3 linked regions of the Arabidopsis thaliana genome follow. The protein of the gene in region 1 binds, or shares a complex with, the protein of each later gene. Each region holds a gene or a part of one and is shown on either strand. Other genes may lie near its edges.

Evidence for each region.
Region 2: THO2 (region 1) and THO5 share a complex: the UniProt entries of both Arabidopsis thaliana proteins name them as parts of the THO complex.
Region 3: THO2 (region 1) and TEX1 share a complex: the UniProt entries of both Arabidopsis thaliana proteins name them as parts of the THO complex.

Annotation. Positions count from the first base shown.
Region 1 is NC_003070.9:8,736,517-8,747,026, reverse strand, and holds the start of THO2 (THO2), read right to left. Parts: upstream 5,088-10,510; 5' UTR 4,964-5,087; exon of another isoform or gene 4,877-4,963; 5' UTR 4,818-4,876; coding exon 4,683-4,817; exon of another isoform or gene 4,587-4,682; coding exon 4,461-4,586; intron 4,351-4,460; coding exon 4,309-4,350; intron 3,819-4,308; coding exon 3,759-3,818; intron 3,193-3,758; coding exon 3,130-3,192; intron 2,924-3,129; coding exon 2,843-2,923; intron 2,790-2,842; exon of another isoform or gene 2,577-2,789; intron 2,490-2,576; coding exon 2,418-2,489; intron 2,351-2,417; coding exon 2,303-2,350; intron 2,197-2,302; coding exon 2,128-2,196; intron 2,041-2,127; coding exon 1,907-2,040; intron 1,246-1,906; coding exon 1,170-1,245; intron 857-1,169; coding exon 663-856; intron 249-662; coding exon 168-248; intron 14-167; coding exon 1-13. Other genes in the region: AT1G24650 (Leucine-rich repeat protein kinase family protein), read right to left, coding at 9,712-10,199, 10,285-10,510. UniProt on the Arabidopsis thaliana protein: Acts as a component of the THO subcomplex of the TREX complex which is thought to couple mRNA transcription, processing and nuclear export.
Region 2 is NC_003076.8:17,202,870-17,214,767, reverse strand, and holds THO5 (THO complex, subunit 5), read left to right. Parts: upstream 1-5,117; 5' UTR 5,118-5,245; coding exon 5,246-5,497; exon of another isoform or gene 5,498-5,562; coding exon 5,563-5,853; intron 5,854-5,932; coding exon 5,933-6,269; intron 6,270-6,345; coding exon 6,346-6,683; intron 6,684-6,791; coding exon 6,792-7,039; intron 7,040-7,292; coding exon 7,293-7,884; intron 7,885-7,969; coding exon 7,970-8,104; intron 8,105-8,191; coding exon 8,192-8,458; 3' UTR 8,459-8,797; downstream 8,798-11,898. Other genes in the region: AT5G42930 (alpha/beta-Hydrolases superfamily protein), read left to right, coding at 616-919, 1,344-1,537, 2,366-2,399, 2,908-3,043, 3,167-3,650, 3,779-4,030; AT5G42910 (Basic-leucine zipper (bZIP) transcription factor family protein), read right to left, coding at 9,557-9,622, 9,721-9,822, 9,916-10,860. UniProt on the Arabidopsis thaliana protein: Acts as a component of the THO subcomplex of the TREX complex which is thought to couple mRNA transcription, processing and nuclear export.
Region 3 is NC_003076.8:22,718,160-22,728,929, reverse strand, and holds TEX1 (Transducin/WD40 repeat-like superfamily protein), read left to right. Parts: upstream 1-3,830; 5' UTR 3,831-3,864; coding exon 3,865-3,930; intron 3,931-4,026; coding exon 4,027-4,122; intron 4,123-4,296; coding exon 4,297-4,426; intron 4,427-4,738; coding exon 4,739-4,830; intron 4,831-4,940; coding exon 4,941-5,009; intron 5,010-5,194; coding exon 5,195-5,252; intron 5,253-5,368; coding exon 5,369-5,468; intron 5,469-5,560; coding exon 5,561-5,647; intron 5,648-5,731; coding exon 5,732-5,810; intron 5,811-5,905; coding exon 5,906-6,041; intron 6,042-6,140; coding exon 6,141-6,175; 3' UTR 6,176-6,448; downstream 6,449-10,770. Other genes in the region: AT5G56140 (RNA-binding KH domain-containing protein), read right to left, coding at 998-1,147, 1,230-1,373, 1,456-1,572, 1,649-1,762, 2,175-2,320, 2,678-2,763, 3,278-3,468; AT5G56120 (RNA polymerase II elongation factor), read right to left, coding at 6,737-7,447; MYB80 (myb domain protein 103), read right to left, coding at 8,266-8,965, 9,379-9,508, 9,607-9,739. UniProt on the Arabidopsis thaliana protein: Acts as a component of the THO subcomplex of the TREX complex which is thought to couple mRNA transcription, processing and nuclear export. Contributes to the integrity of the endogenous trans-acting small interfering RNA (ta-siRNA) pathway.

The sequences.
Region 1 (10,510 bases):
CTTCTCTATAAGCCTGAAAACATAGACCAAAAAAATCATTGTTGTCATCATAGATTAGTGGCCAGAGCTGCAGTATCTCTTTGGATACATAGAGCTGAAGATGCAAAGAAATGAAGCCGCTATAAATCTGGTGCAGAATAGTTTGCGCTAAAGGATTACTCACTAACCTAAACAACCCACTACAGATCTGATCGTGTGCCACTGGATTAAGAGGTGCAAGACGCTCGAACAAGATATTTGCATGATACCTGAAAAGAAGTGAGTTAATATAAAAATAATAAGAAAAAGAGCTTTCACCTCAGTTGAGCAGAAAGGGGAAGATTAATTAGCAAGCTTTTAATATAAGTTAAATATACAAAATAGCTTTGTATGTAAACAAATTTTCTAGGATAGTATGGATCCTGAGATGTGAATTCGGCAGAAGACACCAGTAACAGTCATCCAATATGCCCTCAAGTTCAATTTTCAAGTTACAGAAGGTGATGCAATTATCAAAAAAATAACAATCATATATAGAGTACTCCACGAAGAAATCTCATGCTCATGAAGAATAATAAAACTTAAAATTTAACATGCACTGGTTCAAGAAACCTGTTAACCAAATGGACTGGTTTGACGACAGTGGATTTGTTAAGTAAAAAGATATGATTCGGTGTTCATACCAATCGTCCACAGAGAGGAAACCATTAAGTAGGCCCAGAGTCTGATTATTTTCAAGCTCTGGTAATCGCTCAGTAACAGCTTCACTTTCCATGTCTAAAGCAGCAAAGAGATCTACTGTGACATCTCCTTGCTTCTCATCTTCCATAAGATCCTTCCCAGTAGCAGCGAGATTAATCTTTCCAATTTTATTGGCCTGTATAAAAGGAAGGACTTGTAAAAATAATAACTCATGAATAAATCTATGAAAGTAAAAAACAAAAAACAAAAAATAATTGGCTGGCTTCCAGGAAGATGGAGAAGTGCTTAGTATCTAAGTATTTATTAAATTTATGAAGGCAAGATTAGCAGATTACCACAAGAGCAGAGAAACCATGTTTGTTCGTTTGTCTCAAGGGAAAAAAAGGTTTTAACACATAAGAAACATATAGACAACTTACGGTAGGCCAGAACAAAACTATCTTAAAACATCTCTAAGCATAAGGACGAGGTCATATATTGAACTGTACCTCTTCAAACCGCTTTGCAGAAGAAACATTATAATCCTCAAAAACTTCCTCGTCCTTAGGTAGCAGATGTGCATATCTGTTCACAACAGCCAGGCAAAAAAGTATAAGAATATTGGGTCCATACATTCAGTATGATTTCACTTGTTAGAGGCACAAAGAAATGTAGCAATCTAGTAATCACCGAATCAGTACACTGATGAAATAAGTTAATGAATTGAGTGAGTTGCTCACGAGAAAATAAATTAAGTCTACTAGCTAGTCCTCCTTAAGAGCAATCTCAAAGTAAAAAAGTAACTTTCAGAGTACAGTAAGAAACAAACTTAAAATTGATACCAAACAACTAGAAACAAGAGACAGGTGCAGAAGAGAAGAGAATCTTTCATTTACATTCCAACTGATCTAGTCCTATTCTCAATGAAAAAAAAAACTCGTTATGAAGAAGACATGTACAAGAATCCAATTAGAAAGAAGACTTCAGTCTGCAAAAAAGGATAAAAACCAGTGTGCAAGTATAACCTTATTCTCACATAATGAAAAGAAAAGAAATCGTCATGAAGAAGACTACCTACAAGTATCCAATTAGTAAGGAGACTTCAGTCTACGACAAAAGATAAAACCAGTATACTTTCTTAAGGCTACACATAATGCTCGATTTTGAATATTCCCGAGAGGCTCCAAAGACCTTGAAAGCAAGAAAGGAAAGGGCGGAAAAAACAGTTGAAGAAAAAACTACTCACATGCTTTCAAGATTGATAAACTCTTCCTTTACTAGCAAGGCTGTAAGCTTATAGAGCCCAACTGGAACAGGGCTATTCACCTCTAGTCTCTGATAGTATTGGAATTTAAATCCAAGAATTTGTGAAGCATGAGACTGCACATGAAAATTATTTTTTTTAGCAAAAAATAGTCTCTTGAGCTAAGCATTAGAAGATAAAAATACGAGGAAGACATTCCAAACCTTGGGAAAGATAGGAATTAGATTGAGAAATGTGTCGTAATCTTGTTCGAGTTCAAAGCAATCTAAAACCTATTCATCAAAAACAAAGGGTACATTATTACTAATCGGGAAGGACAGATTGATGCGTTATGCAATATCAAACAAAAATATGACAGAAGCAACAGTGAAAACTTACAATGTCGAAAACACGGTTTGGATCCAGGTCAAAATGCCCAATTAATGACTGCAAGAAAATATAAAGTTCAGAAAAAGTAAATGGGCGAAATATAATGTATTGGCCGAATCAAAACCTTGATAATTCCCATCGTTGCTGCTGATGCATTGTGCGAAGAACTTGCAGATCCTCGGCACAAAAGAGTGGCCTGCACTCCACAAAAAGGAACTGCTATAAGTTGGTGTATGTATAATCTGACTTAATCGAATCTCTACTGAGATAATATGTTCATTACTCTGCACAGTTATAGGTAATAAAACTAGCAGAAGATATGCCTTCCAACTGGAACCGTGTGAAAAGGAAAGGCCAAATCAGCATTGTTGAAAAGATCATCCCTTCCAAAAACTAAAGGGGTATTCCTTAAAGTTGTGTTTCAGAAAAAACAGAAGTAAAGAGTATCTAAGAAAAGACAATAGAAACGAAGTGGACAGAAAGAATGACAATAGATAAAAAAAAAAAAAAAAAAAAAAACTAGACTGCTAGAGATCTTCTATAACGAACCAATTTGGCATATCCCTCGCTTTCTTCACGGAGTAAGTTGAACTTTGTCTGCTGGTACAGAAGACGAGTGTTTAATCGCACCTGAGAAGCATCAACCAGAATTGTTACTTATAAACAATGAGCAGTAGTTACACAGGTAAAGTAGAAATTCTTATAAGCATTAATCTTTCGCAATAGCAATTCACTCAGAGTAACTATTACGTAAATCAGAGCACAGTGCAGCTGCATTGATGACTAAAGTGTGAAGTCATATTAATACAGCAGTTACAGAAGTGTGAAGTCCTCACCTCTTTCCCCTTCAAATCTTGGGCCTTTATTTTAACCATATCAGCTTCCCAGAGAAACTCCTCCTAAAATAAAATAAATAAAACGCCTTCAGAAAATTTTCTTCTTACTGATCAAGAAAATAGAGAGGTTAAGTGGGTGGGGTACAAACTACTCAAATTGGGAATAATAACAAACATTTTAGGACTTGCCCGCTCCTATCCTTTACATCTACAGCAAGAAGAAGAGGGCTATTCCGTGAGACCAGCTGGTCCACTGGATCTTTGAGGACAATTCTTCAGTCTTAAGGGATTAATGTGACATTCGAAACAGGCTACAGCCTTGAAGTTAACTTCTATAACTACCTTAGCAGCTACAATAACTATTATTTAGCAGTCTCTATCTATCACTCCAGACTTGTTCAAGCTACGGTTTCTATGATGGGCAGTAGGATTGCATGATGCACATGCTATATAGATGAGGGGTACCAGTGAGGGAGTTATCGAGAACTAGTGAAAGGTGGAAGGGGGGATAAGAGGGGACTCTATTAAGAAACCTCTCAAAGCTGTATTTTCTTGTTTTAAGTTCTATTAATATAAAGATTCTCTACGTATTACTCTGTTTCATTGGCTGAACGTAACATAATGTTTACCTCGCAACGCTCTTGGAAAAGCCTTTGAGGGACTGTCTGTGATTCCACAAGCCATTTCGCCTACCAAAAAAGAACAATTGGTTCATTAGCTGTGAGCATAGAAACCTTGAGGAGATGGTAAATGAGAACAGAAAGAATATTTTAAGGAAGAAACTAAAGTACGCAATCATCAAATTCAATAAAATAAGACATATGCTAACAACTCCTCTGTAAGCAGCTCATCAGAGAACATTGGATCAAGCATACAAGGAAAATTCAATACCAAACTACGCTAATAGATCATCTAAGGCACTATGGTCAAAGTTTCAGCTCCTTAGGATGAAGTAGCCTTTTACAATCAGGAACTTTCTTGCAACCTGCCCAGGATGAGCCATCGGTTGGTTGAACCTTAGGACACTACTGATAGCTATACACCACATGCCTAATCTATTCATAGGATGTTACTTTTTGTGATCACTAATATCTAAAGAGCTAGAATTATCTTTCCTCAAGACTAACAAATCCAAACAATGATCAATTTTCAAAACGTAAAATAAATTCTAGCACTCACCAATTTGATTAGACGAGAACGTTGATCTCCCGACATGGTAAGCTGCAAAACAAAGCAAAGAGAACACGAACCCAATCAATCCAACGATCAGTATCAATAACCTTGCACAATCATCTCTGAGCTAAGGATGTCAAAACTGTAATTGGACTTACGTCTTGAGCTATCTGAGTCACAACATCCGCAAAACACGAAGCTAATTCTTCTCTCGATGGCTTATCCAAAAACTCCACACCTTCCAACACTGCCTTACAGCTCTGAATTGGCAATTCGCCACGAACCTAATAATCCATCACGAGGCACCGTTGAGGAACTCGAACAACATATACGCGTGATTGGATAGTAGTAGGAAGAGAAGGTGGTGTTTGTGTGTATACCAAAATCCAAGAGAGCTCGTAGAGGAAACGAAGCATCGGCACAGAGCTGGGCAGCTTGGTTCCATAGTTGCCATTCTTACCTTCACGAACAAACTCCTCCGTCACGTACTTACACTCCAGTAGCGGAAGAGACATCTTAAACCCCTTTCGTGTGTATGTATGTATATCTTTCACTCTCCTCCCTTTTCGAAACCCTAGAAGATTAAGAAAATAGGGTTTAGACTTCGATTGGCGACCAGAAAATAAGCATTCCGATAAGATGAAAAGGGAGAGGAACGAACAATTTTGATCAGAGAAGAAAAAGAGAAATTAGGGTTTTTGAGAGATTATTTGATTTGGTGGAAGTAAATTGAAGACGATGATGATGACGGTGTGAAGATGATGCAAATATGTTTTTGATTTTGCAGAAGAGGGGACTATTCTTTTCCTTTTTCTACTACTTACCGATTTTGTTTTTCTGTCGTCTTTTGTTTCAGCAAATTATGTTGTATACAATTTCAATACAAAACCGGGTCCGGTTAAGTCGTATGATTTTGTTTTGAATGGGCGTGAAACTATGAATTGGTTGTTATTGAACAAGCCCATGGGCTCAGATGATCTTTGAGTCCACCACGATACTACTAACAAGGCAATTAGGCAAATATCGAATTAAAAATGTTAATTACATCTTTTGGTCCTAACAGATATAAACAAATAGAAAGCAACGAGTACAAGTACTAGCTAGTAACATACCAAATTAACTAAAATATGGAAACCAAAACCTAAAAAATTTCTCAGCGTTCTTCGCTCCATTCCCGTTTTCAACCAGAATCGTTAACTACTCGGGACAAAAAAACGATCAAAGAAAGTCAGAAAAGATCCATAAGCAATTGAAAAGTTGATCCAACTTACAGTCATCTTCTCCTTCTTCTCCTCCTCGTCCTCCTTTGCTCAAGAAACAACAACAAAAGAAAACGGGTCGGTTTGACCAACGTTATTCGAAAGCTATTTGTTTTAGGTCTGGCCTGTTTATAAACTCATTATGTTAAAATCTAATCCGCTAAAAGTCATTTATAGTTAAACTTAATGTGCCTGTATTGGCGCGAGGGCTGCTGTTATTTTGTTATGTTCAAATCAGTGCTTCCAAATTGCCTCGTCTAGAATTAAAGAATATGCTTAGAAGAATTTTTGTTATATATTAAACATTTTGGTTTTTGTTAGGTTTTTTGGATCACTTATAATTTGTAATGTTGAATTCATTTGTTTTTTTTTATTAGTCAACCAGACTTTCCGACATTATCTATTATTAACTACATGTTTGTGTTTCAGTTTAACTAATTTATTAAGGCCATAGGAAAATCGTCAAATACTAACCACACGAAATAACTATAGATACTGTACTTTGGTGTCATTAAATTCAAATTGGAGTTTCATATTACCCGAAAAATGAATCGTTTTATAATTTTTATGTTAGTTGTTGCGACGTATTTTGGATTGCTTGTATCAGTTTTGTCTTGTAAACGTAACACAATTGAAATTATGAATGATCTTGGTCCCGGTTTGGTTCTCTAGTATCATCGTCATTCAAAAGACGACAATTTAGACGTCGCAAATTTACAATTCAAGGAACTAAAACAAATCCGTTTCGGAGACATGTTTGGAAGAAGGACAAGATGGACTTGTCTTTTGAAACACGGCTTATACATGCGATATTATAAAGATTTTGTAGCATATAGAGCAGCCAACATTGATCGATGTGATGCTCTACGTCGTTAGATTGCTAGAAATGATGGAATTTACCTTGTGAGAAATAGAAATCCTCAACCAAAGTTCCATCATGCATGGAATAAAACTAAGTAATGTTGATGAAAATACTATTTTTGTTGTCTTTACAATTTACGTCAACATTCTTCGTAACCTAAAAAAAAAAAAAAATCTTCATAACCTAGGGTTATAATTTATAGCAAATCAAATATGTATCCATTATATGGAAAACGAATACAAACTACTTTTCCGATCCAGACAAACAGACAGTGTGTCGTCTTTTTTAATTTTTTTGTATTAAATCTGATTAGAAATCAAACAGTATAATTATGTTAAGTGCAAGAGACAAAACCGTGTCTGTTTTAGCCCAACAGTGTCACCCGAAACAAATCCATTCCTAGGAATATAGAAAGAAAATTAAAACAAACAAAGAACAATTTAGAAAAGACACCAATTAACACACAACACAAAGACAAATCATAATTAGGATGCTTCCATAAGATAGAGAATTAGGAAACAAGAAACGTCCTCTTTAAGACAACTGTTCTTCCCTAGCTCCGAACTCCTCGATCATCATGTTCTTGTTCATTTTCGCGTGGATCTTGGAACAGTTTGCAAGGCTTGAGCAAGCATGAATTAGGTCCACCAACATTCCCAGTTGAAATAACAGGATGCTTTTTTGAGATCACCACGGAGTTGATAACATCATTTGTTGGGTGATAAATAGACAAAAAAAAAAAAGTCTTTTTCTTTCCTTTTTCTACTACAGACCGATTTTGTTTTTCTGTCGACTTTTGTTTCAGCATAAAATAGAAGAAATTATGTTGTATACAATTTCAATACAAAACCATGTCCGGTTTAGTCGTATGATTTTGTTTGAGTGGGCGTTAAACTATGAAATGGTTGTTATTGAACTAGTCCATGGGCTCAGATGATCTTTGACTCCACCACGATATTACCAACAAGGCAATTAGGCAAATATCGAATTAAAAATTTTAATTACATCTTTTGGTCCTTCTAACAGTAACAGATATAATAAACAAATAGAGCAACGAGTACAAGTATTAGTTGACACAAACGACAACAGAAATAGACAGTAATCAAGTTTCGTTCCTTTGGTTTTTGATTTTTATGATCTTCGACCAAATCACGTGATCTAAAACATTGACTTTGATCATTAAATCACTGCAATGCTTTCAGTTAATTTCTGACGTAGAATCATAAAGAGACGTCGTTGTGTATCTGACGACCACACAATATTTTCTGATTATTAAAAGATACACTTGTTCTACAAGTGAATTACAACATCATATAAATTTTACACATCCAGAATCTGGATCTTTTATCTATATAGCAAATTAGCAAGCACTCTTTTGAACAATGAAGCATGCATGCTTTATCTACCAAGAAAGTAACAAAGAGTATCAATCATATACAAGATAACTAGAGAGCTGAAACTAGGTAGAGAGCATTATACCTCCCATATCAGAAGCCATTAAAATCTAATCTTTGTACTTGATAGTTACCACTGAGGTTCCAGTAACAAAACGGGTACCTACCAAAATCAACTAAAAATATGAAAACCTAAACCTAATTATTTTCCGAGATTCAAGAACACTAAAAGAGAGATTTTACAATGTTCTTTGGGATTCAGCCTCATCATTCTTCGCTCCATTCCCGTTCTCAACCGGAATAATGAGCACGATTAGAGAAAGTCATAACAGATCCATGAGCAATTGGAAATTTGATCTGACTTACAGTCATCTTTTCAGAAACTCGAATGTCTTAACGATCTCATCTTCTTCTTCTTCTTCTTCTTTATAAACTCATTATGTTAAAATCTAGTCCGCTAAAGGTCATTTATAGTTAAACTTAATGTACATGCATTTGCCTAAGGGCTGCTGTTATTTTGTTATGTTCAAATCAGTTCTTCCAAATTGTCTCGTCCGGAATTAAATTAATATACTTGCAAAAAAATTTGTTATATCTTAAATTTTGGTTTTTGTTAGTTTTTTTTGGATCACTAATAATTTGTAATGTTGAATTCATTTGGCTTTTTTTATTAGTCAACAATACTTTTAGACATTATCTATTATTAACTAACATGTTTGTGTTTCAATTTAACTAATTCATTAAGGCCATAGGAAAATCGTCAAATACTAACCACACAAAATAACTATAGATACTGTACTTTGGTGTCATTAAATTCAAATTGGACTTTCATGTTACCCAAAAAATGAATCGTTTTATAATTTTTATGTTTGTTATTGCGACGTATTTTGGATTGCTTGTATCAGTTCTGTCTTGTAAACGTAACACAATTGAAATTATGAACGAGCTTGGTCCCGGTTTGGTTCTCCAGTATCATTGTCATTCAAGAGACGACAATCTAGACGTAGCAAATTTATAATTTAAGGAAATAAAACAAATCCGTTTCGGAGACAAGCTAGGAAGAAGAACAAGATGGACTTGTCTTTTGAAACACGGCTTATACATGCGATATTATAAAGAATTCATAGCATATAGAGCAGGCAACATTGACCGATGTGGTGCTCTGCGTCGTTGGGTTGTTAGAAATGATGGAATTTACCTTGTGAGGGATCGAAATCCTCAACCAAAGTTCCATCATGCATGGAATAAAACTAAGTAATGTTGATGACAATACAATTTTTTTGTTTTTGACCCAAAATGTGCCTAAATTTGTATTAGCCCCGTATAATCTCCATTAATTGATGGATTACATGAAAGCTAAATGAGATAATTTGTTGTGTTTTTTCCATTCTTCTGTATTAAAAAATAAGACAAGGCCTGAATGTTTCCATGTAGAGACAACTCGTAGGAGACAACTAAAAAAAAAGTTTGATGCCTGATCATTTATGTACGTAGCATATGATGTAAAGCACAATAAAAATGTACAAATTGTGATGTACAATGTCTTAAACCATAAAAGAAATCAGTTGAAATTCGGGAAAACTATAAAATAAAAAATTATATATGTCAAACCATTTGACTCAAATGATACATCAATCAAAATAAATTCTTGAGACAATGCCAATGCCCAACCTAAACTTCTAAATATCTAGAAAGTGTCCAGCTAGTCTACGACAAAAGACCAAAACACGTGTCCAATTTAAGCATATGGGTTCCATTCGTGCGAAAAGGACACCCTAACTTGAAAAGGAAGGTAACCAACAAGATATATTCACTATCCGCAAACCTAAAACAAGAACTCATCCAACAGCAAAACCTTTCTCATTCCATGTTCCAGCTAATTCTCTAACACATTTTACCTCCCTTGTCCTGATTTGAATGTGCTTTCAAGCTCGGAAGGTCGCGAAGGTATGCTCGTCAGAGTATTATCTCCAAAAAAACACGAATCAAGAATAAGTTGAGGAAGAGGAGTGTCGTAATCAATTCCATAGATATCTTCCGAGTCACTGCTTCGTTCTGTGGGTTTCCATTGTACAACAAGTGAGACCAACACGTTGACAACGTGATTCATGTCGGGTCTATCTCGCGGTTCCCTGGAGCTACATTGATTGGCAAGCTCAGCTACTATGTTGATGCTTCTGAGTGTCTCTTCGTTGACCTCCATTGCTTCGTCTATCGCCTTTGGGAATGAGCCTTTGTTGATAAACATTCTCCTAAACCATGTGGCAAGATGTACTTCTTCCTCAGATCGTGCAACATCAAGAGCTTTTCGACCCGTTAGTAGCTCCATGAGGATGACTCCAAAGCTGTAAACATCAACCTTTGTTGTAACTCTTCCGGTCACTGCAATGTACATAGAGATTTCAATATTTTACATTTAGTGAGTTTAGAACGAGTAGCAACATACAAAATAAGCATAAAACCATACCTGCATACTCTGGTGCAAGATAACCAAATGTTCCAGCAATCTTGGTCTCAATTGATTGTGTACCTTCTGGTGCAAGCCGGACTAAACCAAAATCAGCAACTTTAGCATGCATGTCATCTCCAAGAAGAATATTAGAAGGTTTAAGATCTCTGTGTATGAAACTTTGATGTGCTAAAGTATGCAAATACTCAACTCCTCTAGCCACATCCAATGCAATAATCAACCG
Region 2 (11,898 bases), on another chromosome or scaffold:
GTCAAACTTCTATAATGGTCATAAACGGAGTTTACAAAATTTGGTGCCAAAGTTATGCCGCACAATTAAATATAGCTTACTAAAGTGCAAGTGTTCTACTTTTTTTTTTTTTTTATAAAAGTGTCTTCTAATTATTTAGGTTGAAGTTTTATGTGTTTTACTGTAGTAATAATAAAATTTTGAAAACCTGCTTTAAATTGATGGATTTTACGTGATATATATTCCAAACCAAAAAAGAAAGTATATAGAGTGAAATGTCTCGACTCTATCGAGTTTTAAATTTTTAATTAAAATTAAGACAATATGGGTTCTTAATACCTTGAAGATTTGTCAAACCATATTCGTCTCAACTCTCAAGCCTACCATACAACGCATGTGTGAATAATATTGACTTGTGGATATACACCAACCTTCTTGATACGACCATCGTAATCATAATTTATTTATACAATAAACAAATCAAAAGCATAGACTCGTGGCTTAATATGAAATTAATTATATTACTCTTAACATTATAAGTACACAAAGCTAACGTGACTTACCTTGCAAAACAACTCTTCCACGTTTTGAAGCTTAATTAACGTTGACGATTAAACCACAACCCAAAAAACAAAAATGTCTAGAACCAAAAACTACTTTGTGTTGGATCCGAGAGAAGCCACCGTCTCGGATCTTATACATCTTCTCTTCTCATCGGATCTCGGAGATAGAAAGTTCATCCATTCTTCGGAAGAGAGGATTGAGGATGATCTTTCCAGATTCCGGCGACGGTGGATTATCTTTGTATCCATCGTTATTCAAAAACTCATAATTCTCTTTAAGAAACCTCTCTATTTTGTTGGATTTTCTCTTGCTTGTTGGCTCAACCTTCTTTCTTCCAATGGTGGTTTCTTGATGATACTCCCAAATCTTTTCAAAGGTAAGATTGTCTTTTAAGATATTTTTTTTCTTTTGTATACAAGTTCGAGCTAATGGGTATACGTTCGGTTAATTACACTAAAGGTAAAATTCAACGTCGAAACATTAGAATTTCTTCATTAATTTTGAAATCCCAAATGGGAACAACGAAGATAATATACAAATAATTGATGGTTACTATGAATTATACTAGACAAAACATTAAGGTTGTAAGTTACTCCAAATGGGGTTCTCTGCTTTATCATAATCTTTTAATTAATTGAATTTTGAAACCAAATTTGAGAGATGACCTACAATAAAACTCAATTGGTGACACCAATGCGATTACCTTAATTTTATAACCTTTTTTGTGCGAAATCCGCTGTATGAATATCGTGAGGTAGACCCTAACTTTTAACAAATATATTATTTTGTAACTATTTTAGGAAACATTATTTGGCCGGAAAAAGCATCAGCGACGTTTGCATCACTAAACGGAAACCTAGACCGGCGGGTAGAGTTAAACCCGAAAGTAGAGAGAGGAAGTAAAAGATACAAAGCAATGTTGTCAATTATGGCTTCTAAGCTGTCTTACGAGAATATAAACTTTGTCAGCTCCGTTCTTCACAACCATTGGAAGGTTTTATTCTTTAATCTTTTCCTTGTTGTTTACAACTTTTACATGTTGCTAGAAAACGATAGTAGTTTTGTTTTGCTCATTTAAATTCACGTTCTATCATTAAAATGCATTTTTGGATCAAATTTGTTGAATATGACTGGTAATAAAAATAGATTAAGAAACTGAATTTCTTCGACATTTTATTATAACTTCACCAATCATATATATAAAACACAGTACTCTATATCCGCTGGAAGAAAAAAAAGAGAAATTTTCCTTTCCCGTAACATATTGAAGAAAATAACTTCTGTTAAATTGAATTTCTAGTTTTTCTCCATACTTTTACTATGCTATACACACTAGTCACAGTCAATATAATTTCGTTTGCCTAGTAAATGAAAAATGATTCTTTTTTGTTTGAAAAATTATTTTACTTTTTGTTGTCAATAATATACAATACACGGATTTGAATTTGGAATTTAAGAAATTAATAATATGTACTAGCAAAACTTACATATCATCTTCTATATATAATGTCTATAGATGATAACAATCAATTTTGGGATTAAAAAATAATAATTCTAGAGTCTTTTTCTTTTCTAAATAACATTTTTTTTATTGTTATTTTGTTTTCCTTTGTAAAGTAAAAAAAGAGAAGATTTTCCTCGCTTAAAGTTAGTTACATATAAAGACACGACAACTAATGCATATATAATCTCATTTAGCTGCCATCGTCCAATTATTTAACTTATCTAATAGCATGATCATGCATGATTTCCATTGATTATTAAATCATGAAATAATTGTGTTGGACTTATAATCTCTATGTTTTTATTAAATGTGGCACAGATGGACTTATTAGGTTTCTACAGCTGTTGGAATGGTGAGACTAATTCCCTTTTTTTTTTATATTATTGATGAATAATTAACTTAATGGGTCCGAAGAAGGCAAATACCACGTGAAAACACTGTCTGAAATGTGCAATATATTATTTTTCTTAACTAAAAAGAATTTGATTCCAATAATAATACTCAAATCAATGATAGACCAAAAAACTTTATATTTAGTTCAATTTATATATTGTCTTTCCTAAAAATCAATTTATAAAAAGATTAAATTCTCTTACCTTTTTGCCTCTAAATTAAACATAAAATTACGACTAGAAATTTTATGTTTGTATCTTTTAAATAGTTGTCTATGTGTGCTAAAATATTTAAAATTTTTAGAGACAATAACCTCAAATTCTCTAGAATTTAAATTTTCCTAAAATACTTCATATACAGTTTTTTTTTTCATTTTTTTCATATACAGTTTTAAGATCAAATTCATTTTTCTATTTATATTATATAAACAAAAAAAATTAATTTATTTTTTCTTCCTTGGTTTTTAGGTTACCAGAAACAAAGATCAACGGAGGTGATTGTTATAAAGGACACAAGTACAGATCCAAACCTCATCATCGTTAGTTTCAGAGGCACTGATCCTTTCGATGCCGATGATTGGTGTACAGACCTGGATCTCTCTTGGTAATTTTAGTTTCTTTTGTTATAATTTATTTCCACACACAAACAGTCTAGGTTTTTGTTTTTATACTCTTTAAGTTCATCCTTTAGCCCCCCTAATAAAACTAGTATTGATTTCCAAAATAGGTACGAGGTTAAGAATGTGGGAAAGATTCATGGCGGGTTCATGAAAGCTTTGGGCCTTCAAAAAGAAGGATGGCCTAAAGAAGTAAACCTTGACGAAACCCAAAACGCAACAACTCTATATGCATACTACACTGTTAGGCGTCACTTAAAAGAAATCCTCGACCAAAACCCGACATCTAAATTTATATTGACCGGACATAGCCTAGGTGGGGCTTTAGCGATCCTATTCACGGCTGTTTTGGTGATGCATGATGAGGAGCAAATGCTAGAGAGACTAGAAGGAGTTTACACATTTGGACAGCCACGCGTAGGCGACGAGGAGTTTGGAAATTTCATGAAAGATTCACTAAAGAAGTTTGACGTGAAGTATGAAAGATATGTTTATTGCAACGACATGGTTCCTAGGTTGCCTTTCGACGACAAAACACTCATGTTTAAACACTTTGGGGCATGCCTTTACTATGACAGTTTCTATAAAGGAAAGGTTGGTTGCATATATATGACAATCTTGTTTCTTTGCTTTAATCACTCATCCGTCTAATGTCGCTTACGCACTTACCCTACTGATGATATCTATCTACATTGTTGTTGTTTAATTTGTATTATGTTCAGGTAGAGGAAGAGGAACCAAACAAAAACTACTTTAATCTCGTATGGGTTTTACCAAAGATAATGAATGCACTGTGGGAGTTGATACGTAGTTTCGTCATGCCTTATTGGAAAGGTGGAGAGTTCAGAGAAGGATGGTTCTTAAGGTGTTTTAGGGTTGTTGCATTGTTGATTCCTGGATTACCTGCTCACTTCCCTAATGAGTACATCAATGTTACTCTTTTAGGTGACTTACCTGACTCGCATCTTGATTAAATTTTGACGAAGTCATAAATTCTTTTGAAAAGTTGATGTGTTTAGCTTTTCTAGGGTCTCGTTTCGGTGATGTAGGTGTTATTTTCTTATTTTGGCCTTAGATCATCCTTTCTTTCTCGCAATGATTCTACGTCTCACTTTATCTTTATCTGCATCAAGAAAAGAAATGCATAAATATTTCAATAAATACTTAGTGAAACGATTCTCTTACCTGCGAGTTATACACACAAGCAAACCAATATAACAATCAACAAATAAATCATGAAATAAATCAAACCAATGAACAATCATCCATTGACACAACCATCTCGGGGGATTGAATAATGGTACCAAAAATACTGCCTATACATACAACAAATAAATCACACAATCTCAATTGCTTAGATAATCTCATGGTCACATACCCACCTCGAAACAAGAATGATTTTGAAACCAAAAACAACAATCCCACAACGAGCAGTAACTTCCTACTCACCAACAATATCTCAACTCACCATACATCCAACTACAACAGCAAACCAACCTTTAACCTAAATTGGAAAAAATCTGAAAATAACCCAAACAATTGGTCTCAAATATTGAGTCACGAATCGCAATCTAACCGTCCAATTCAAATCTCCACCGTTGAAACTCAACCCTCAAGATGTCCTGAAGCTAACCTCAAAGTTTAGTGATGATCTGACCGCAGGTGCACTCGAGATAATTTGTTTAATACACTCTGGTCTAAATCACGTCTGAAACAGAGGACTTTACGAAAACACAGATAACTTTTAGAATATTAACTCAAATCCAAATCCGCAAAGTGGTAAATCTAGTTATAAGGCTTAGCTACAACTCAATAAAATTTCCGTACCATAGAAGGCTATTTGATTGATCAAACCTCTGTTCTACCACGACATATCTGATATGTCTCTCTCTTCCTTCACCAAAATTATCAAGTAGTTTCCTTTTTGGTGTTTTTTACATAATATTTTTGATATCAAACCAAATTTTTTCTTGTCTTTATACAGAATTTTCTGAAAAAAAATGTTACATAATCTCTTTTACGCAATTATCATCCCATCATGGAGTAGATATAATATTTGTAACAAAATATAGTTTACATAAAAATCATAAATAGTTTGACAAAAAAACAAAGAACAAAAAAAAAGAAGAAGAGAAAAATCATAAATCCTGTCAGAAGTACCGGAGCGAGCCTGACTGGAGAAATCGAGAATGGAGGACGGCGAAATAGAGGAAGGAATGGTAACTGCCGACGAATTCCCGACGCCGGAAGTAACTACCATAGAGACTATACAACCTCCCCGAGAGCCAGGAAAATCTCCACTCGAGCTACTTCGAGAGAGCAAAACCTCCGTAGAAGAAATCGTCGCGAAGATGCTCTCCATGAAAAAACAAGGAAACCACAAATCTGAGATTCGAGAACTCCTCACTCAAATGTTCCTCAACTTCGTCAATCTTCGTCAGGTACTTACCAATCTTCTCCCTCCACCTCTTTCGCTATACGATACTTATTAGGGTTTTTTTCGCAGGCGAATCGGGCGATTTTGACTGAGGAAGATAAAGTGAAAGCGGAGACGGAAAGAGCAAAGGCACCTGTTGATTTCACGACATTGCAATTGCATAATCTTATGTATGAGAAGAGCCATTACGTTAAAGCTATCAAGGCTTGTAGAGATTTCAAATCTAAGTATCCTGATATTGACCTTGTTCCTGAACAAGACTTCTTTCGTCATGCTCCTGAAGCTATCAAAGATCAATCGCTTTCAAGTGATAGTTCTCATGTTTTGATGCCTAAGAGACTCAATTTTGAGCTTCATCAGGTTGGTTAATCATCACCATCTCTGAAATTCATTCAACGTGATATAATGTTTCATTACCTTTTTATGTTTTTTGATTCAGAGGAAAGAATTGTGTAAGCATCGAGCGAGATTGGAGCAACAGAAGAAGAGTTTATTAGAAACCATTGCGGAGCGTAAGAAGTTTTTGTCGAGTCTTCCTCTACACCTTAAGTCTCTGAAGAAAGCATCGCTTCCAGTACAGAACCACTTGGGTATACAGCACACAAAGAAACTGAAGCAGCATAATTTAGCTGAGCTGCTTCCTCCTCCGCTTTATGTTCTATACTCACAGCTCTTGGCACAAAAGGAAGCTTTTGAGGAGAGTATTGAATTGGAGGTAGTTGGGAGTCTTAAGGATGCTCAAGCTTATGCTAGACAACAATCCAGAAAGGACTCAGGTAAGTTGTTTTGAAAATTTACTGTGTTTTCTAATACTAAAACGAAAAGAATGCTAATTTGGTATTGGTTTTTCAGGTATGTCGAGTAATACAGAGAGTTCTAGGTTGGAGGATGATGGACCTGATGACGATGATGATGGACAAAGGAGAAGAAAACGACCCAAGAAACTTACTAGCAAAGAAGGTTCTGACAAGGCAGGATTATATCAAGTCCACCCTCTCAAAATTGTCCTTCACATATATGATGATGAGATACCAGATACAAAATCCTTGAAACTTGTCATTCTCAAGTTTGAGTACTTGCTGAAGTTGAATGTTGTATGTGTTGGCGCTGAAGGCTCTCAGGATGGACCAGAAAAAAACATATTTTGTAACTTGTTTCCAGATGACGCTGGACTTGAGCCTCCTCATCAGGTAACTTTTTGTTTCTGTGTTTCAGTTTTCTTCTACATGTGACTTTTGATGGCTTTACTTTTAAAAATGCATACTCAATTCTCTTTATATGGCCGGTTTTCCATGCAGTCAACCAAGCTCATCCTTGGTGATGGTCAGACGTTTGATGAGAACAGAACTTCAAGGCCTTATAAATGGGTACAACATTTGGCGGGAATTGATATTTCACCGGTTTTATTAGGCCAAGAAGCTCATAACACTGACCCAGCTAAAAGTGATACGTTTGTGCCTGATCTTTCATTGTATCGCCAGCAGCATAGAGTGCAAACAGTTCTGCGAAGAATACGCTTGCGGAAAAAAGCGCATCTGGCTCTTGCGTGAGTTCACCACTCTGTATGTTTTCCGTCTTAATTAAAGAACACGATGCAAAGAATTCCAGAAAATTAGTAGACCACCATGATAATCAGCATATGGTTTGTACATTTAATAGTTTGGGTTTGTCAATAACTTGGCGGTCAATTTAATCCCTCTGTAGCATTGTCAACTTCGTGATAAGAGCTTCTATAGGTAATTATTTCTGTTGATATGTTTATTTTTGCTGAATACTTTGGAAACTTCTACTGGCTACAGGGAACAGCTTGATTTGCTTATGAAACATGAGTTACCAGTGGTGAACTGCGAAGATGCTCCTTGGGCACTGCATAAGGTTCTCTGTGCTTTGGATTCCTGGTTACATATACAATCTTCAGCTAGTAAGTCATGCTCTCTGACTCTGAACAGTGTGGAACAAGTTCCAGAACCTATGGAAATCGATGTAGATGGAAGATCTATTTCTGGAAAAGAAGATTTTGAAAGTATACGGGAAGATGGAGAACTTCCCTCTTTGGTCACGGCGGCTGCTTCGTTAACCAGTTCCAATCATACCCCATCGAAAGTATCTAATCAAGCACGGTCAAGGCAGTTGGCCTTGATGACAAAGAATCTAGATTCTCCGATTAGCAAAGGAAAGTCCCCAAGTTTCAAGAAATACGAAGATGATTTGGATCTTGTTCTGGACGATGATAGTGAAATAGATGAGCCAACCGGAAGAACTGAGGCGCATGTGGAAGAGTTATGCCCTGAGAAAGCTGATAATTCATGGGTGGATTATGGTTCGAGAGAGTTTGCGCTTGTGTTCTCCAGGAAAACAGATGGCGGAAAGTTGTGGAAGTTAGAAGCAATGGTAACTTCTAAAACACTATCTTCTAATACGGTATCTTCCCTATATCTTTTTCTTTCTTAAGTGTTAAATCGAGTTGTATTGGCAGGTACAAATTAGCATGGAGTATCCTCTTCGACCTCCTTTGTTTTCTCTGTCTCTCCACGCATCTTCTTCATCAGGAAATGAAAATGGGACAAATGAAAGTGACCATTACAATGAACTTCGAGCAATGGAAGCAGAAGTAAGTGTCAAACCCAGTAACATATACTAATCTTTACTCGATGACACCAAAGATAACGCCTTTGTAACCTTTTCGTGGCGGTATCAGGTGAACCTTCATATGTTGAAGATTATTCCTTCAGATCAAGAAAACTATCTCCTATCTCATCAAATCAGATGCTTAGCAATGTTGTTCGACTATTACGTGGATGACCCATCTCCAGATTCCAAAAGAGGAACAGCCACAACTGTGGTTGATGTCGGTTTGTGCAAGCCTGTTGACGGTAAGCTTCTTGTGAGATCATTCAGAGGCAGAGATCACCGGAAAATGATCTCATGGAAGGGCAGAGGATGTGCATCGGGTTATCCATGCTAGAGATTACATCGCCACTCACTTCTCTATATTATCTTTCTCTGGTGGTACAAGCAAAAGTTTTTGCATGTAACATTTTTTTATCGTATAAACCGTTATTGAAACAGCCTACTTGTTGGGTGAGGACCTGGTCTGTTTTAAACCTGGCAATGTTTCAAGTCCAATCCGTTTTAGCCTGCTCTGTTTTGGTCTCGATTTAAGCATTAAAGCCTAGCGGGTAGCTTGGAAACTAGAAAAGTGAAAAAGGGCTCGTCACAGGTTTTGGAGAAAAAAAAAGGAATCAACTCGTAGACAACCGTTATTACAGGTTGCTACTGCAATCATTGACAAATGTTGTTCCTGCAATTGGAGGTAGTGAAGAAAACAAAACCAAATCAAATTGGATATTAGTTTATAACTTTCAAGTGATTATATAGTTTGATTTACTTTAACTTTTAGTTTTTTTGTCATCTTATTTAAGTACAATTACCAAGGAAATATGCAAGTTTGAATTACAAGAGCGGGCGGAAAATAAATACATCCCAAAAACTTAATCCAAAAGAAGGAAGCGAATCCCTAAATTACAGGAAAACTGTCAAACGTAAATTTTTACATATCAAAAAGACAAAGCAAAATCAAAGGCATGAACGAAGACCTAAGAGGAACCACGATTTGCTAAATTCACTCCCATGTCCCAGGAAGAACAAAGCCAACCACAAAAGACAGTGAAATTTTTCGTGTTTTGTTGCAAATGAATCAACACTGAATTTTTTTGATTTATTATAGGAGTTATTTTTGTATATTGCAAATGAATCAATAGTGAAAAAATTTAGCAGCAATTATTGAGCCTATAATATAATTTTATAGTTTTATGGTTGAGATTAGTATGACATTGTTTTCTAAAGCCAAAATAATAATATTTAATAGTAGTATTTTCTGGCTCCAATAAAAATAAGTTTTGGATTTTCCCCTAGACCATGAGAATTCGATCTTTAGGACATTATCAAATGGGTTTAAGAATAAGATGTCTAATAAATAGCTTATTTGGTCAAAAATATACGAAAACAAAACATGATGAACAAAATAAACTCATCATCATCCTCCAACTCGGGTTTCATTGATTCACTTGATGTCCGATTTCGTTCTCCTCAGCTTTCTCTCCGGTCGTTCATGAAGGCTAATCATTCCCTTCACGTATTATTTAGATATACAAAAAGTTAGAACAAGGTTCTCAAGTTTTTAATTGATGTACGGTTGAGGAAATAAGATTGGAATAAATAGATTACTGGTTCCATTTGTCTTTTCCGCAACTCTACATGTTGTTTTAGTAGCTCTTCATAATCTTTCTTTAAGTTTTCAAGTTCAACTTCAACCTCCATAGTTTGAGCCTAGAGAGCAAAAATGAGCAGTTTGGTACTTATAAAACACAATCAATCAAGATGGATAGATAATATATATATATATATATAACATTTTCTTACTTGCTTTCGAGCCCGTGATCTCGCTGCGGATTCTCGGTTCTTAATCTTTCTCCTAAGCTTTTTGTCAACGAATTGTTTTTCCGCGGTAATTTCACTATTAATCTTCCCACCTCTTGTACTAGTACTACCATTACTAATGTATGGAGATGGTGAGAGTAATGAAGACTCACCGTTAATCTTTTGTTTCCCATTTAATGTTGGAAATGGGGTAACCGGTGAACATGTTATGGCTTCACTTGGAATTGTCGCAACACTTGGGACCAAGCTTCTCTTCGTATCTTGGAGACTTTGGTTACCAGATCCCAAGGAACCATTTGAGAATCGGATTTGTTTTCCATAAGAATAACCATTTGGCATAGACATGATAGATTGTTGTGGTTGATATGTTGACATAGATCCATTCACATTTTGATGCAAATAAGAATCATGACTCCTTGGAACCATATTGTTCATAAAATCAGAAACCATGGCTTTTGGCTGAATCTGAACACCCAAACTAGTGTGTGGATTACCGGAAATCGATGACGATGAGTCATGAATGGAGCCACCATTGGTATTACCTCCTCTTGCTCCAGCACGGATGAAAAACTCTTCAAGAGTGATTTCCCCTAAGGTTTGTTGTCCCTGAAGATGAGTAATGTTTGTTACTCCTCCATTGTTATTGGTGTGTTTTTCCTCTGTGATAGATTTCCAAACTTCACCAACATTTTGTTTGCTAAGTGTTGGAGGCAGAGTAGTTGAGCCTTGCCTCTGCGACCCCTCTTGTGTTTCTTCAGCACTTGATATATGCTTAACCAACTCATCCATGTTCATTGATCCACAATCTAACCCTAAGCTGGTCTGAAACTGATCTACTGTCCATGAGTATATTGATCCTTGTCGGCTTAAAGAAGTACTAACTGGCAAATCATTCACCAAGTTTTTAAGTCTCCAGTAACTATCCATTTCACCTGACACAAATCCGAGTGATTAGTGGCCTTAGAAAACAGTTGTTGAAATGTAAGAGCTTTTGAGGTTAAAAATCATGCAAAACAGAGGAAAGGAGAAATTTTAAAACAGAGGGAGAGAGAAATGATCAAGAAAAATATTCATTTTGTTTCTCATAAGTTTTTTTTTTTTTTGGATTAAAAGTTTCTCATAAGTTTCAGTGAACCAAAAGAGTAATTGAATATATAAGAAAACTAATGTATGGCAATTAACCCAAAATAAAATAAAATAATAAATCTAAGCTGAGTTAAGCACATTATCCAAATGAAGTAAGAAAAATCTAGAATAAAAGGGATCTAATAAAACAACAATTTGTATAAATAAAAAACACTATATAAGGAGCAAATAATTTATTTTACCTTTCTCACTTAGTGTATCTATCTAGTAATTGAAAGTTAACTTTTTAAATATAAGAAAGATCTAGATGAGTTGATAATTTTAAATATATTTTTTTACATTTTTGTATAGATATTTTTCATAAGTATTTATTTATATTTAAATTAATTTAATTAAATAATAAAATTTTAAAATGATTAGATTATTAATAAAAATTACACAATGCTGTTGTAAACAACATGCATTATTGCATTATGTAGATTTGAACGTCGGTAACTATCCAAAGATAATATTTATAAAATTAGTAAATTGATATGATGTATTTCATGGTAATTAATCTACTGAATCAAAATCGCACCACACAAATGAATTCATGGAAAACTATCCTTTTGACTTGATAATAGGTTAGCGGGTGGTTCTCTTTTTAGAAATTTAGACCATGAATGGCTTTAATTTGTAACTTTAACTGATGTTTGGCTTTTGGTTTACATATTTTCTTGTTTTTTTTTTTGGAGTTTTTGTTAATGATACAATAACTAAGGAAAAGAAGATAAAAAGGGTGGACTATAGGTTTTTTATAGGTGGTGTTGCACGATAAAATATTTTAAATTTTTATAAAATTTACTAAAGAATTTGAACTCAAAATGATGTATATTATAA
Region 3 (10,770 bases), on another chromosome or scaffold:
TTTCAGATTGCAAAGATTTGGTACCTTAAGGGGAAAAGGGAAAAGTGGAAAACTTATCACAATTTTTTTTGACATATGTTCCTTTTGTTCTTAAAAAACTTTCTTATATGAAAAGAAAAACACTTTCTTATATGCAAATAAAATCTATACATTACAAAAATTGTTATGCATTTGCATATTACTAATAAAGTAGTATTTGTGAATGGTAGATTTCATATGTAAGATGTTACTCTTACCAAATTCGATAGGATTTTAAAATTATCTTTTATATAAAGTACATAACAATTTTTGAATAGGCCTTTTTTGTAAAACAGTAAAGGAAAGCTACCTTGCATCACAAGAAACTAGGTTATAAGGGTCACAGGCCATTAAACCGATTGACATATGGGTATACTAACCGATTTACTTAAATATATAGATCTGTTTAAAGTTTAATCAAGTAATCTTTCAATGTTGAAAACAGAGTTGACATGTAATAGAAAATGTCGACTTCCAGTAATAAAAATGTGAAAAATACTCGAGAACAGAACATTTGCTTTACATAATTCCACATATCATATTGAAACAAGCTTTACTTTGACGTTTATGTATCCAAAACATATTATGATTATTATCATTACCAATACCAGACACAAACCATCATCATGATTTAATGTTTTCTTTTTGCTAAAACAACAAATAAACAAAAAACTTAAAAGAAAACTGTTGGAACCCAACTTTCCAGACATAAAAACATAAACAAAAACAAAATCAAAGTCTCGGAGAGAGACAGAGACTCATCAGCTCTTGTGTTTCCGTTGCAATTTTGTCATCTGATCTCTCTCCGGGACAATGATACATAGACTGACAAACACATTTCATAAATCATATATACAACATTTCTACCCCAAGGACAAGAGACAGTACCGTGTCGTCAAGAGTGGTATGGCCTTTTTGTGTCGACTTTTGGATCGGTTTCATATTGCTTTATGATCACAGCCAAACTGTTCGATGGTTTTTACCCTTCTCTTGTTTTGGCTCTCTTCATACCAAGGCTATTGTAAGGAGAAACAGAACCGGACATTGGAGATCCTTCTTCACGAAGAGTTCCATTGAGCAATGCTAGCTCGCGCAGCTGTTGTTTCTTGTACATATCATGGGTTTCCTCCTATAAAACAGAAACCGAGTGTGAAAACTTTGTAACAATAACTGGTTTAAAATCAAAGGGAGGGGGAGAGCTAAAAACAAACCATAGGAGTAAGAAGATCGTCAAGTATTTCCCGAGCTTGCATGAGCCGTGCATCGACTATTTCAATCGGTAATTCTGCTTCCACTAAGATATGAAGTGGTTCATTTAGGTGCTCGTATCCCGGTTTTCCTCTCATCATTTCCTCCTACAAGAAGAAATATATTAACACCTTGTACAAACATTGAAATGTAGATACAAATGAAGTTGTAAAGTTTAATAATAAATACCTTAATTGGATCTTTTATACTTCCTCTTCCTCTTATAAGAACACGGCAATCAGTACTTGCTTCAACTCGCTTCAGGGAGTTTCCTCTAGGACCCAGGAGGCGACCAACAAAATTGAACTGCCATATAGAAAATTAAGGAGTTACATTCCAACCAGGAAGTAGTATATCTCAGTGTAGAAATGAAAGTTCATACATTCGGATAATTGTCGACTGGAATATCGACCCTGATTGTACGCTTGGCGATGAGACCGGACGAACTACCAGGTGAGTTAAGCCAATTTGGTCCCGGAGATGATGGAACAGATCTCTGCAAATGATCAACCAACAAAATTAGAAGCAAGATCAACCTTTAAGCATAAGCACATGAATACTGCAACTTCTTGCCCTGGAACTTCATTCAATGAGAGTGGTCACTGTATCAAGGCATTTCAACCTGTAGCTGTTATATCCTAATAATATGCATACAGTGACCACAGATATATGAGAAAATTATAGCATTAATTTCAATCCTACTCGTGAGGATAGTGGAGTATCTAATTAGTGTTGATCTAAGGTATGAACATACAAACATTACGGATATGAAGTGTTAGCCTACCTGTCATGATAAACTAGGACTAAAAGCAGTCAAATATGTTATGTCAGTATTATAACTTAAGTCAATAAAACTTCTATTGCAGTAGTATGAATTAGAGAGTTATGTTAATGGTTAGTAGTCATACTTCTGATGGAAACTGGGAGGCCCATCCATTCATGTCAGCTCTTGCATTCTGAAATATCCCTCCAGAAGCCAGAGGGCTAGGGTGGTCAAGCCCACTCTGACTTAAAACTGTAGCATTCTCCAACAGTGTGGTTACACGCAAAATTTCTGTTCCAAAAATGTCAATTTGCAAGAGTAAGACGCACCAGTTAGAATTAGTCAACAAATCAGTCACCAAGACACCAATGAATGGAGAGACAGCATAGTTAATTGAGTTAGCTTAAAATATATTTTTGCTCTCACTCTAGTTAAATACACTCTGGTTAAATAGAATGAAGTCAGTATAAGAAATATAGAATTAGTCATTTCGTGATCTACTTCTAATAGCTAACAATTAGGTCTCTCTTAGCAGTACTGTTTAAGAGTTTATCAACTGTATTATAGCTTCATGAATCTGAAGCAAAGAATGAAGTATTATGTGAGATGAAAATACAAATAATAAACAACAAAAACAGTAATGCTCACCTTGGTTTAGTAGCCGAAATGCATGTGGAAGCACAGGCAGGAATGGAGTAAGCTTATGACGCTCTGCAAGTAACTCTGAAAGATACCTGCCAAAACAGAAATTGTGCAGAGTATCCAAATTAGTAAAAAAGCCTCAAAGACACATCAAACTTACAAACAGATACACTCAAATTCACTCTAAATCGATACAACCAGATTCAAATTTCCATTCTTTTGTGAAGTGGATCTAGTCAATCTTCCAAAAATCGTATTTTTTTTAACAGTTTCATCAGCCAAGAACAGAAATCAACAATAACAGAAACGAACACAACCAATGAAATGATCCTCACACACTAAAGACTTATGCTTTACAAAAAATGAACTGGATTGAGACAAATCTGAAATAGACTGAGCTAGTTCCGAAACATAGATCCTAATATAATCAAAAGAAAACAAAAAAGACAAAAATCCAGATTCGAGATACACTATTAAGATCTAAAAATCAAAATCAGCAAAGCAAAGATCAACATACTTCATCAGATACATCAGCTAATTATAAAAGATCACCAAACAATAAAAAACAAAAATATAAAAGAAGATGAAAAACTAAGATTCGATTACTTCTCTTGCTCAACGAAGACAGAAGACTGTGATCGGAGACCACCGGAGTAATTAGGAGACTGAGGAGCAGAAGGAGGCACCGAAAGAGACGACGAATACGTCATAAACCTCCCTCCGCCGCCACCACCAATACCACCACCACTTCCTCCTCCTCCACCACCACCACCACCAAGCGACGACATCATCATCATCTCGAAGACAACAGAATCAGAGTAAATCTGTCGGAGATTAGAAGAAGAAGAAGAAGCGGCGGAGGCAGAACCAAAGCTGTTGTTGTCTCTCTATAACGTCGGTGGATTTAAGAGGTCATTTTATAGAGACTGTGAAATGATTACTTGTTGTTTGCTTAGCTGTTTTTTTTTTCACCTTTTTTCTTTGTTTCATATTTTACCCAATTTTACCGCTCTTCTTGTTAGTTTCTCTCTGAAGACTCTTAACCATCTAGAAGGTTTTTTACATCCGGTTTACTAAAATTCGATTCGGTTTATCTATACCGGAATGACTAAACGCTGCGTTTCAGGAAGCGAAGCTCTGATATTCAGTAGGCCGCGAAGGAAGGTTGAAGAAGAAGAGTTGAGAATTAAAAAATGGAGGAGACGACGATTCCTTTCAAGAGCTTACATAGCAGAGAATATCAAGGTCATAAGAAGAAGGTTTTTTTTTTCTATCTCCAGTCTAATTTTCTGTACTCAATAAAACTTGCGAAACCCTAGTTTTTTGCTGAATCTGGGGGAATTTTTGGATTGAAGGTACATTCAGTAGCTTGGAATTCGAATGGAACAAAGCTTGCTTCGGGTTCTGTTGATCAAACGGCTCGCATTTGGAATATCGAACCACACGGTCATGTAATTTCTTTACCTTTTTGAGCTATGGGAACTTCTATGTGTTTTTGATGATGATGAATACATATGGAGAAGTATTGTAGATTGAGTTAAAACTCGATTATTATCTTTGTCATTGTTACTTTTTGAGTTATGTAGTTTTTGTAATTTGGTTGTTTGTGTGGTGTGTGGATACAGAGCAAGGCTAAGGACCTTGAGCTAAAGGGTCATACTGATAGTGTGGATCAGCTATGTTGGGATCCCAAACATTCAGATCTTGTTGCTACTGCCTCTGGTGATAAAAGCGTTCGTCTTTGGGATGCTCGCAGTAAGTTATATTCTTTTAATCGTTTAGTTTTGCTCCTGAAATATGCCTGGAGCTTGGTTTAGAAATCTGTATATTTTCTAATGGATTAGCTATGTGTCATTCACAAATATTTCTCGCAATCTTGGCCTTTGCTTTTGAGTCATATCGCGGAGACTATTGATTGATGAGGATCGGATCTAAGTTTCTTAGAATTATAAATTAGTTATTTAGCCAGATTCCATAAGAGAGGAATTTGATCAGGTTTTTGATATGTGGCTACTATTGTATGTTTTACTATCAATTGCTGAGATATGTCTTCTTCGAGTTCTACAGGTGGAAAATGCACACAGCAGGTAGAACTTAGTGGAGAGAATATAAACATCACCTACAAACCTGACGGGACACATGTAGCTGTTGGTAATAGGGTATTGTCTCGAGCCCCATATCTTTACACTTTCATTGTTCTTACTGTCTATGGATTACTTGATAGATCCCTTTTCATAGTCGTTGTCCTTTCTCTTACTGGCCAATGTAGGATGATGAGCTTACAATTCTGGATGTCCGTAAGTTTAAACCTCTACACAGGCGCAAATTCAATTATGAGGTAACGTAAGCTCAGACTCATGTTAATCTTTATTAATGGCTTTTTTTTTATAAGGCTCTTCCGTATCTCCTGTTTCAAGCTCATGCGGTTATATGTCACCTAAGTTCCTTGTTCATGTAATAATCGTCAAGTAATTTTCTGGTGCCGTATGGAATGTTCTCTTATCTTTTGTCTTCTTGTAACAGGTTAATGAGATTGCTTGGAACATGCCTGGAGATTTTTTCTTCTTGACTACTGGACTTGGTGAGGATTTTAAATTCTGTACTTTCCTGCACACGATTCCCTACCAAAGATTTCTTTGTTTTTGAACTTGAGAAAATGATCTTACTGAAAGTTACTTTGTATGTTGTCCTGCTCAGGCACTGTTGAAGTTCTTTCATATCCATCTCTTAAACCACTTGACACTCTCACAGCCCACACAGCCGGGTGTTATTGTATTGCAATTGATCCTAAAGGGAGGTAATATATATTTACATTTGTGGGCTGGCCTCTGAGACACGAATGATAATCTTTTTGCTTTTGCATCTAATTCTTCCTCTTTACCTTAACAGATATTTTGCTGTCGGGAGTGCGGATTCCTTAGTAAGCCTTTGGGATATCTCAGACATGCTTTGTTTGAGAACATTTACCAAACTTGAGTGAGTATCAACATGAATTTTCCATAGAGTAGAAAAAGGTTTAATTTCTGTTACATGTTAGTAATTTATAACTATTTCTCACAGGTGGCCAGTCAGAACAATAAGCTTCAACTATTCGGGAGAGTATATTGCTTCAGCCAGTGAAGATTTATTCATTGATATTGTAAGTGATTGCCCAGACTTAAACACTGCTAATTTCAATGTAGTTTCCTCAATATGAGATTAGTTCCTCGTATCTGACCACTAACTACCAAACAGGCTAATGTCCAAACCGGGCGGACGGTGCATCAGATTCCATGTCGGGCAGCCATGAACAGTGTTGAGTGGAATCCCAAATACAATTTACTTGCATATGCAGGTGATGACAAGAATCCCAAGTATAATACTGATGAAGGTACTACCGCGTATTAGTACTTCATTGTTAGCAACAACTCAAAACTCTAATATTGGTAGCAGAAAATGAACAATGACAACAACTTGGATCTCTTTGCAGGTGTTTTCCGGATATTTGGTTTTGAGAGCTCGTAGGAACAGAGCACTGAATCGGGAAACATGATACACAACTCCACTTGATTGTTCCTTGTTGAGTTAGAAAAAGTTTATGTGCCTAGTGTACCTAAATATGTATTGTCAGTATATCAAGTTGGAATAATCTTACAGTATCACTAAATACATTGAAAGTTTGCAGTTCTGAATCTGGCATTTTATTTATTGCAAAAATTTGTTACTATACAAGCAATGTTGTTTATTATTAACGAAGAATGAAATTAATAAGATCAAGATCAGAATTCTAATCCCGAATTACATCAATTTTCTACTATGTGTGAGTACTGCTAAAAGTTACAGGTTGTTCTTATTCCCTCCGGCGAATCTTCAGTCTGGGAGATTTGACAGCTACTCTCTCAAAGCTAGAACAGAGGCCAATGGTAAGATCGGACCAAAAGCATCATCCCCACAATGAAGGTTGAAGAAAGAATGCAGAGTCCTGAGAAAGAAAACACATTTATTACTGAGAGTCCAATTTTGGATTAAAGAACAAGAAGAGCACACGATTTGCTTACCGAACAAACAGTGAATAGGAAGAGTTTGTCAAAATCCGCAGAGGATGAACTTTGAGACCGGGAAGAACAACCCTGCAGAGCAAAGAAGAACAATAGTTATCAAATACTGAGAGAACCAAGTAACAGGTTTCCACTTGATCTCAACGCTTGAACTCTTCATCCTCTTCCCACTCATCGGCTCTTTCGACAAATCAAAGCTCGACCCTTTCATCCTCAACTCCAAAACACACCGTGTAAGCGTTCTATTATCATTCCTCTCCCTATTAACACCTCTGTAAACTTTCCAGAACACAAACAGCTTAGCTTGAACAAGAAACACCAGAACCAATGAAGTAGCTAATGACACTGCAGAAGGTATCCACCATTTCTTGCAAACCGCATTACTTTTCACCACGTCAGCATCATCAGAACAAGAAGAAGAGTAGACAAGTGTGAAGAAGAACCCATGGAAGACTAGGAAGAAACAACAAAGCTGAAAGATCTCTCTTTTGATTGACTCTAGTCTTGATTCTTTAAGAAGAACACGACGACAGAACAAATCTTCTTCTCTTTGCCATAACTTCAAAAGCAACAAATGTCCTGGACTCTCTGAGATTTCAGACAACGGATGCTGCTGAATCACTTTGAGTATTCCCATTCCCGGATTTGAGACCGCAACCAACTGTTGTTGTTGTTGTCTCTCTTTATGCTCTTCATCTACTGGAATCTCCACTACATGAGAATCTTTAGTTCCGGCCATAGAGAAAAAAAAGATTGAGACTTTATGAAGAAACAGAGATCGGAATAGGAAAGCAATTAGAGAGTAAGATGAAGATTGAAGATTTGAGTTCGTTGTGTTTTTTTAGTAAGAATTCCTTTTCTTTCACAAAATTTCAGGTATTTAAATTGTTGTTCTTTAACGGCTATATGTACAACGGTCGGATTGTTTTCTTTTTACGTTATGTTGTTACTGCTGCGATAACATAGTAAGAGACCTTTTCTCACTTTAACGGCTATATTTTCTCCTCCAAAACGCATATAGCCAATATTTGGGCCTTTAATGGGCCGAATGATATGCAATGTGCTTTATAGTTTAACTAGGCCCTATGATTCCATTTTTTTTCTTTTCTTTTCTAAAGTATATGATTCCATTGTTTGCTTTTGTTCCACCACAATTTATAACAAGTGATATATTTATGAATTTTTCTATTACTAAAATAATAGAATAAAGTAACAAATAAGATTCTGTTTTTAATTACTTTCAAAACACATACGCAAGTTATTGGAAATGACATTTTTGGGATTTTGTAGACTTCAACGCAGAAGCCAACATCAAAGGTTTGTAATTTTGTATGTCTGTTATCTATTTATTATACTCAAGATGAAAATAATAAAAACTCTTTATTTACATTTCTTCATTTATTAAAATGCTTTACAAAGCAAAACTTATTAATCTCTGTAAAAACAGAAAGCACCTAATTAATCATACCCAATGTTTAACTACCAATGTGATCGAAAATGAAAATCCAAACAATGAAATCTTAAAGAAAAAGGAAAAAACTTAGAACCAAATAAAAATCAAACCATATGATTGATGAGATCATCAGCTTGTAAATCCCACAAGACATTATCCACATTAAACACATGTTGATGATGATGATGGTTCCTCATCATCGTCATTCCATCTCCTCTTCCTCCTTCAGATCCAATCTCCTCTTGATCAACCACTTCTCCCTTCAGCTTCCTTCTCTCCTCCTCCTCCGCTGCCGCGGTTTCAGCTACCGCGGTACGTATTCCTCCGTGACCCCTCCAAGCTGCAACGGCAGGAGACGCTGATCCATCATTTCTTTCTTCATTCCCAAACGAAGACGAAGAGGATCCATATGAGAATCCATTACCCATGTCCCATAACTTCATTATCCCATTCCCATGGTCCAAACCATCCATCTTTATCTTACCAGCTTCATTATCAGCAATCTCGTGAAAGTTGTTTGGGTTAGGGTTATGGTTTGAAAAGTTGATTTGGTTTAGGTCAACACGTTTCTTGGTGAGCAAGTGAAGCATCTCGTCCTTGAAACAGCCGAGGGCAGCTTCGGCTAGGTGAGAAACCTGAGGAGGATTAAGTGTAGTGGTGATCTCTGCCATTAGATGCGAGAAAGGCTTGTGGGTCACCGGATCTATTCCCATTCCTGACAACTTCTTCTTCAGCTTCGTGTTCCAATAATTTTTCACATCGTTGTCTGTCCGACCAGGAAGTTGCGCCGCAATCAACGACCACCTGAACCATATATGTCAAAAGATTATTAAATGTTTCCCAAGAAAGATGTTAACTGTTGTTTCTCATGAAAAATCCCAGACTATTCATCAGCAATACATCATCAAACTCTATTTATGAGTCGAAAACAAATTTATAGAAAATTAAAAGTTCCCAAAAGTTTAAAACCCTATACTTAGATTTGGTATTATGGTATATAGAACAAAACTTATGTCTTATTCAGTTTCTTGTGTCCCAAGAAACTTGTCAAAAAACTCATAAAAACAATTCATCAGTAAGTCAGCATCAAAATTTCAAAAACTTAGTAAAGAAACCCGATATTTATGAGTCCATCTGTAATTTATACACCTAGATTAAATCTTTTCAAGAAAATCATAAAACCGTAGTTAATTAGATCTAGTGAGTAGTGATCATACCGGTTACCAAGAACAGAGTGAAACTTGACAATGATATGTTCTTCAGCCTCCGAGAACTGGCCATGTTTCAAATCCGGACGCAGATAGTTTGTCCATCGCAGCCTACAACTCTTCCCACATCTTTGCAACCCTATTAAAGACCAAATTTTGTCGATTCATTATATTACATTACAATGATCACTTGACTAAATAAAACATTAAAAAAAATATAGAGAAAATTTAAATTACCAGCATTCTTAGGGATGAGACGCCAATTACGAGTACCATGTTGAGCAATATAAGAAGCCAATTTGTTGTCTTCTTCAGGAGTCCATTGTCCTCTCTTCACATTCTCCTTTTCACAACATGGAATCCGACCCATTTCTTCTTTCTTTCTTTCTAGTTTTTATCTCTTGATCGATTTGATTACTCTTTACTTAATTTACTAACGAGAAAAAAGAAAATTTGGTTAAGAAATGAAAAAAACTTATATATATCAAAGATTGCCCCACCCAAAGAATTAAAACTGCCAAACTTTTGATTTTTGTACTTTCTTGTAATCAAGGCTTTTAAATTGCAAAAGAAGAAAGGAAATGTATGTATATATATAATAAAATTGATTTAACAAAAATGAAAACATAGTAAAAATTAGCATCAGATGTGCATGAATTGATTAAACTCTTTAAAGAATTCAACGCTACAGAGCGTGTGATTCCCTTAAGCCGGTAGGTCACCCACTCAACGCCTGGTCAACTCCTTTTACATTCAGATTATTCACCCATAAAATTATATTCTTCATATATTTACACTTAGATTATATAATTCTTCTGATATTCTCTATGCAAACTCCAACTTTTAAACATTTTGGGGATTGGTAGAACGACTTGGATAACAAACTAGCCTTTGGATTATGAAGTGAAATTGTACTCTTTTTTAATATAATTTGTGATCATATTGAAGTTATGACACGATTTTTTTTAAAAAGTTATGACAACTTTTTTTTCATTTTGTAAGGGAATGTATTCGTGAAGTACCGACAAGTACGGAGAATATTGCGAAAGCGTTCGTGTGCATTAGTGAGACTATGAGAGCATTCGTGAAAAGCACAGAATCTTGTAGAAGTACCTTTTTCGCGTACGAACTTGTACCTTTTGTTCTAAATCACGAAGGACCCTACTTGTGTCATCTTTTGTTGTAAACAAGTAGTGGTAAATCCACATTATTACAAACTTGAATATCGATCAAAATGTAAATATATAGTAATATTTATGGAATAGATATAGTAGTATACTTTTGAATTTGAAAATTAGATGAGAGACACTTATAAAATTCTTAGACTTCTAATTCAAAATCAATTGATAATTAATACATTATACTTTACAGACATATATGTATTTATCTTGTTAACATTGG